2 linked regions of the Ovis aries genome follow. The main gene of each other region encodes a partner of the protein of the gene in region 2 in a complex. Links are inferred from orthologs where the notes say so. Each region holds a gene or a part of one and is shown on either strand. Other genes may lie near its edges. The genes, in order: ESR2 and NCOA5.

Region 1 (3,813 bases), on a different chromosome or scaffold from region 2:
GCGTGTGGGCATTCAGCATCTCCAGCAGCAGATCGTAGACGGGCACCACATTTTTGCACTTCATGTTGAGCAGGTGTTCCATGCCCTTGTTACTGGAGAGACAAAAGGGGCTGAGATTCCTTCCTGAAGCAGCCACAGGAAGCCTGACATCTCCCCGACTCTCCCCCATGGAGCTGGTCCTCACCTTCACCCCAGGATGACCCCCAGCCCTCTGCTCTATGGTTCTTGCATCTGGCTCCTCCAATGATCTGCAGGTGAGGATGAAGCCAATGTCCTGTGGACGATGGTGTCCCACCACCCACCCCAACAACTTGACCCCTAGTGTGATGGGGTCTCTGAACACCACAGGTACATTTTCATGGTCTTTGAAAACACTGAACCGTTGCTATTGGGAGAAATAAGGGTTAGGTTCTGAGAGATTCTGGTCCCAACACTTTCATCAGCCCATTAATACATAATCTTGTTTCTTCTGAGTTATTGCTTAAAGGGCCTTATTTAACATGAATCATTGATTCATTAACATTTCATTCACAGCCTGTAGCACTAAAATTCATGCCTGAATGAAACTTATCTAACATGCATTTTCTCTGTAAGCACATCACAGGCTTCTTGCACTTAGGAACTAGACAGTACTTTAGCACTATTCTTGGGGATTCTCTTTAGACTATGAAATCTCCAACAAAGCACAAAATGCCGAAACAAGGTACTAAACAGACCATATAATACACCCTTGTTTACACTCTGAGAGCAGAAATGAGAAGGCAGAGCAGGCAGCACCTGGTACGACCTCCACTGGGAACATACGTGTGGGTAACTCAAACTTTCTGCCCGTCTGCACATGTCCTCGAATGACCTCAAAAGCACCCTGAGTATTGATTTGGGGGTTACAAATACAGTTTAGCAAGCAGGCAAATTCATAAGTAGAGAATCTGTGATTAATGAGGGTGGACTGTTTCTGCTCTGTAAATGGTCGTGTGCTGAGTAATCATTAAAGAGTAAACAGAGCAGAGCTCATTTCCACTTCGTCCCCCTTGTTGAAATCCGTCAGGTGTGTTGTCTTTTCTCACCGCCCCTAGACTTTCCTCCTCCTCAAGGGAGCATTTACCTTCCTTCCTCTTCCCCCCTCCTCCAGCCCCAGCACCCCACCCTCCTCCTAGGTGATGGCCAGCACTGAGCCTCATGGCACCGGCATGAAGCCACCATCAGACACCATCTCCGTCCTTGAGCACACACAATGTCCATTTCCTGGATACACTCTACCCATGCACTGCCTTCCCAAACCTACACGGCTCACTAGTTCTCTTAGTATCCTGATATATTGGAAGATGGATAAGGTAGACTTGCCACCTTGAAGGGAAAATGATCTCCTGAAAGGAAAGGCGGGCATCATCAGTACACACGCTGATGGCTCTTACAGAATGCAGTTGTCATAGCCGCTTTATGGTGTCTTGTTAACAGGCCTTAGCTCGCTCACCTTGCCGCAGGATAGACGGCAAGAGACAAGGTGTTGAGGCAGGGAATACAACTTTAGGCTGACCAAGAGGATGGCAGACTAATGTCTCGAAATAACCATCTTACAAGGGTCTGGATGCCAGGTTCTTTTATAGATCAAAGGTAGGGGGATATTGGGAAACAAAAATAAAAAGGCCACTAATCTGGCAAATATCTCCTAGAATGGCAAACCTTGGGCAGGGGATGTGTTGCAAGGATATATAATATCCTTTTCTATAGCAAGAAAAGGACAACTCTTAGGGAAGCCTTTGTGATCACCCCAGATCACCAGCCCCAGAGCTGATCTAGAGAAGCTGGGTTTAACCTCTTTAAGAAAACACCTCAGGACCCCAGCCCTGTGTAGTTCAGGAAGATGGGGCAGCTCACTTTAGGGGAGGAACTAACTGCCCCTTTCAGAATCCATAAACAAGCTAAAATCCCCAGCAACTAAAAACCAGATAAGCCAGCACAATGTTGCAGGGAAAAGCCAATTCTGGCTCCATGTTGGAACTGTTCCTTTGACTTGCTTTCTGTTGCTTTTGTTATTATAATCACACATGATGACCTGTCTCGGAGAATCCTGCCCCTTTGCCTGACTTACTAAAGTGTCTTTTTTCAGGACCCTGTCCACCTGTAGGCGGCAGGAAGGAAGACACTAACACATGCCCTGCCTGAGGTTTGCATTCTAGGAGATGTTTGCAAGATTAATGGTCTTTTTACTTTGTTTCCTTGTCTCCCACCACCTCTGATCTCTAGAAGAACCTGGCATCCAGACCCTCAAAAGATGGTTATTTTGAGACATTAGACTGCATGTTCTTGGTCAGCCTAAAGTTGTATTCCCTACCTCAACACCTCATCTCTTGCCGTCTATTTTGCGGCAAGTAGAGTGAGCTTGGGCAGGGTAACAAGACACTATAAAGCTGCTATAATGACCACATCCTATACGGGCCATCAGCGTGTATAGAGATGATGCCTGCCTTTCCTCTCAGGAATTCATTTTCCCTTAAAGGTGGCAATTCCACCTTATCCATCTTGAACTTGCAAAACCCTTTTTCCAAAACTCTTTATCCTTCTGTGAGCATCTGCACCCTCCCTCCCACCACACACCCAGTGGAGCAGACCCCACAGGGATGGTACCTGGCATGCCTGACATGAGACAGGAGCATCAGCAGGTTAGCCAGGCGCATGGACTGTTGCTGGGAGGACATGCCGCTCTTGGCAATCACCCAGACCAGAGCGTCCGTCACGGCATTCAGCAGGTGAGTCAGCTTCCGGCCACTGTCAGCCTCCTGGGATGCTGTAGCTGAAGGGTACATACCTGGACAAAGAATTAAAAAGCCAAGGGTCATTGCCATGAGAAAACAGAAGTCATGTGCTCAGCCATTAGGCATGTGTGTGCTAAGCTGCTTCAGTCACGTCTGACTCTGTGTGATCCTATGGACTATAGCCTGCCAGGCCTCTCTGCCCATGAGATTCTCCAGGCAAGAATACTGGAGTGGGTTGTCATGCCTTCCTCCAGGAGATCTTCCCTCTATGTTCTCCAGGAAGGAGGCCAAAGTGGTCTCGGCTGTTCTGACATCTGCGTGTCTGGTGAAGCCTTAAAAGCATGGCTTCACTTCTGTATGCTGTCTATTCCACCAAGAGCCAGCCCATCACTGAGTTGGAAGGGAAAGATGGCTGAATGCAGGCAGACTCAGCAGCCTCTCAGAGGGCTGCCAGGCCCATAAGTGTGGCCATGCCACAGTAGGAAATGTATCCAGCTGCCTCACACCACGGCATGGTACCTCTCAGCTGCAGCAACAATACCCATATGGAGATGGCCAGGAAAGTGAGGTTAATCCAACTCTTAGTCCCTAGGAGGGCCACTGATCTAAGGGGAGTTTACAAACTAATCACCACTGCTAGGCAGCTGCCCACCCCTTACACGGCAGGGCCACTGCCACCTCACCTCTGTCCAGACTCTCAGCATTTCACTTCAGGTGACGCTTTGGTGGAGCAGGAAGACCACCGATTTGCAATAAGACAGACCTGCTTTATATTCACCATCTCTTGCTCTCTGGCCCCTGACCAGTCACTTGGTTCTTCCAGCCTCAGCTCCTCACTGAGCAAAGCTTACAAGCACATGAGTCCTGAGGTCCCCACAACTACCTTAGGAGGTAGGTCACCTCCCCGTTCCTGCCTGGCCATGTGTTTAATTCCCCTCTGACTCTAGGAACTGAAATACCTGGCCTCCTGAAAGTTACAAAACAACTGCTCAGTTGTGTATCCTTGCCCCTACCATCCCCCTCTCCTACCAACCCTGACTTTTTTATTCTGGGCAAC
Region 2 (3,813 bases):
CAGATTTGAGTGCCCACCTGCTGAACTCTACCAAGCCTTTCCTGACCTCAAACAAGCAAGAAAACCATTTCACTGACAAAAAGCCTTGGAATGGGGATGGGGAGAGGTGGGGCGGGAGGGGATGCAGCTTGGAAGACAAAGAATGGGTTTCTTCAGTGAGAGGCAGACACCCTTGTAGAAAGCTAGTTCTAAGGGGACTTCTTAGATCACAGACGTATAGTGAAAGCCAGAGAAACATGACATCTCACAGATTCAAAAAGACCACGTGGAGAATGACCACAGGAGGCAGGCCATGGGGGTCCACACAGCCCTTCTGGAAAGCCTGGCTTTCCACCACGCTCCTCAGGACAGAGCTGATTTTTTAATGTATCAAAAAGGTTCAAAGGTTATGGATTAAGATCAAATTATGACCCTCAATAACCTTCTCCCCTCAACCTTGGGCAACAAGATTTATAAGGTGATAAGAAGACTTCTTGGCACTTGATATAAATGTCTTCACACACCTTGAGGAGTGTTCCACAGAGAGGCGAATGGCCTGCTGGAGAGGCTTCTACACTCTATGCTTATGGGTAAAACTGGTCAGGCAGACAGAGGGCCCAGGGTGGTGGGAGAAGGGAAAAGTCTGTGCTGAGAGAGCAATCAGCAAGGAATCAGTTGACTGAGTCTCAACGATCTGGGAGCAAAGGACTAAAAGTTACTTCAGGCAAGGACTTCAGGGAACCGACCCTGGGCCTCCAGGAGGTCAAGGCCGCCTCCCTCTTCTCAAAGTCCCTCCACTGACTTCTCCAGCACACTAACAAAAAGTCTCCTAACTGCCTGCCACACGCTGTGCCCCTCGTTCCAAAGTCTGGTGAAGCAGGGGCTCCGCCACCCTCAGTGCAGTGTGTGCCAGGGCTGGGCTGGCTCTCACTGGTGCGAGCAGACTGTGCGCCTCTCTTCCCAACTTGCCCTAAAGTGACTTCATGTTGGTGGCTTGAAATAGAACACGGTGGGAGTATTTACACCATGGAAGTCAGGAAATTCTATAAACCACGCCATCCCCACCCCAGAACTGGCTGTTAAACATTTACTAACACATCACTGCACATACCTAAGGGCTGAATATAACGTCATACACAGCAGGCCCAGAACTGTATGCAATGAAAGAAGATCAAACAAATAAATGACTGTGCAAGCTTCTGTCACGCACTTATAAAAGGGCTCTACCACATCTGAGCTGAAATACCTTTACCTAAAGCCTGCTGCTTCTGAGTAAGCCATAAAAAAATTAATGGACTAGCATCTGGAAGTTTCTGGAACTGTGACCCACTGGGGCCTCCATACCTTGAGGGGTTCCGAACATGATGTTGACTGTGCAGGAGCGGTGAATCTGGTGTTGCTGGGTGATGACAATAGCGAAGGGAGAGCCTCCCCTGCTGACATCCTCCAAGGCTTGGGACAGTGAGACTTCCGTGTTGAGGAAGATTAGATCTACTACCATGCCTAGGTCTCGGACCTTCCGCCCCACAGATTCAGCATAATCTCTGTAGAAGCAAACAGGATCCAGTTGAGTACTCCCTGATCGACTCCCAATCTGTACAGTGGCACCTCAGCCAGAAGACTTCAAATCCTAGCTCTACCAGTGTCTCCCTAGCACCCTCTTCAGGCTCTAAAAATCTAAACCAATTCCTTCTCTTTATATTGGTGGAGAAGTTCCCAATGGAACAGGACTTAGTATCCCAGGCCCTTCTCTTGATTCTCTAGTCTGATGGTCATTCCTAAATACCATACTGTTGCCTAAGATTTGTAGCACATTTCTGTCTTGGCAGAGGCTGTACAACACAGTGAAAAAAGCATGGGTTTTAAATGCTAGAGATAGGTTTGGATCATAGCCCTAACATTTACTTGCAAAGTTGAAGCTTTAAGCAAATCCCTTTACCTCTTACAAACCTCAGTTTCTTTACCAATCAGACAGGAATAATACGGCTCAGCTCATATGTCATTTCCTTAACTTTCTCTCCAATCTAAATCAGATCCTTGATATATTTCTTCTCATAAGACTCATGACCAATACATTTATATTTGTCATCTGTCCAACTAGGGTATAAGCTCCACAAGAGGAAGGGACCATGTGTGTTTTGCTCATTAGCATTACAGCTTCAGGACCTAGCACCTGCCACACACAGAAAAAATTTCATGAATGAATACATGTGAAACATGATTACTATGAAGATCAGAAAAATAATTTAAAGCGCTTAACATGGAGTAGTACAGAGTAGGTGCTCAGAAAATGACAGCTATTATCATGCATTTAAAAATAAAAAGGCAAAAAAGTTATCTGCAAGTTAAAGCAGAATCTATTTCTAAACACTGCAGCCCAGAGCCTGTGAACTCTGCCTGCTGTTTGGTGTCTTAACACCTATTTCCCTAGCTTCTGCCTTGAAAATTAGCTCTTTAACCCCAAACTGCTAGAAAATACATGAAGTTCTTTACTAGCCACTTGGGGAAAGGGAATATAGCTGCTGCCAAACTTGCAAGCTGCTACACTCCCTTCTGCACCTCTGAGCTGCTTCTTCAAGGAAAGAATGTGAAACAGAGGTAGGAAGAACAGTGCCATGAGCTCTGCCTTGGCTGGCACGGCCACCTAACAGCTCTGCAAGGCCATGGCACTTCCCAAACAAAGCCAGTCTCTCGGCTGGCAAATGCAGACATGCCTGCCTTCCCACGTACGGGCTTGGGGTCGTCGCACAAAGGGGGCATCTACTGCTTCACCTGACCAACATCTACTCCCTCGGATTTTCCTTTGGGAAGGCACCCCTTTCCCACTCAGTCTGCCCCGGCTCCACAGGGTTAGTGCCACTTTCAGCACTATGCATGGGCACATGACCTAGCCCTGGCCAATCAGGGCATCCCAGCACTGCTGGCCAAAGGGACAGTCCAGGGATGGGAAACAATTCCAGGCCTTCAGGTGGAAGCAACAGGAAAAAGCAGCTCTTTCCACGGGTTTGCTAAGCTAAGGAGATACATGTCAAGAGCTAGCGCTGTTCTGTCTTTTCAAGTAGAAAGCTTGTCTGAGAGTGAAGACAACACAAAAGACCAAGTCTTTATGAGAGGCTAACCCTGAATGCAGCCATGCCTGAATGTCCCAGTCAAGCAAACTAAAAACTTCCCTTTGGGCCCAAGCCAGTTTGCGGTGGGTTTTCTGTCATCTACAACTGAAAGAACTCTGGTTAACACAGTACAGCAATGTCAACGTACAAAGCCTTGGCAGTGCGTACAGCTACCAAGAAGACTAAATTTCTAATTTCTCTTCTGCTTCTTCTCCTCACTCGGGAAAAATCCAAAGGGTTCTTACTTAGTCTGCTTGTTGACCACAATCACAGAACAATCAACAGGCCTCTCAGCATCAAAGCGTCTCTGGATTTCCTCAAAATACTGACGATAGAGCTCCTCTCTACGACGCTCCTCACGTTTCAGACGCTCTGCAGGATGACACAGGGAAAACTGAAACACGGACGGTGCCTTTCTATAAAAGTCAGTCACAGGCCTTATTTTCAATCTTGAACTACTTGTAGGCAAAGGTTGTAATCCTCTAGACTACTTCTGAAAAAAAATTATTTTTTTACTATTATAAATTCATTAAAATGGAATGAAGGGATTACAAGGCATGGTTGCTTTAATCTGATACATGCTACCAGAATGTCCTTTAGGAAAGGCTGTTACTAATTCATCCTTTCTTTGGGGTGGATCACCTAGTGCTATTTCTCCATATCTTAATCAACGCTGAGTTTTGTCATTAAAAAAAAAAAAAAACCTCCTGCCAATTGATAGGCA

Evidence for each region.
Region 1: the proteins of NCOA5 (region 2) and ESR2 are in contact, whole or in part, in a crystal structure (PDB 4ZI1), measured with the Homo sapiens proteins. The link is inferred for Ovis aries from reciprocal best matches to the Homo sapiens genes NCOA5 and ESR2. Residues at the interface, in NP_066018.1 of Homo sapiens: Ser344, Leu345, Ile346, Leu348, Leu349, Ala350, Asp351; in NP_001428.1 of Homo sapiens: Ile310, Lys314, Phe319, Leu324, Gln327, Val328, Leu331, Glu332, Leu490, Glu493, Met494.

Annotation. Positions count from the first base shown.
Region 1 is NC_056060.1:74,487,286-74,491,098, forward strand, and holds part of ESR2 (estrogen receptor beta), read right to left. Parts: intron 2,810-3,813; coding exon 2,629-2,809; intron 93-2,628; coding exon 1-92.
Region 2 is NC_056066.1:74,778,761-74,782,573, forward strand, and holds part of NCOA5 (nuclear receptor coactivator 5), read right to left. Parts: intron 3,462-3,813; coding exon 3,335-3,461; intron 1,524-3,334; coding exon 1,324-1,523; intron 1-1,323. UniProt on the Homo sapiens protein: Nuclear receptor coregulator that can have both coactivator and corepressor functions.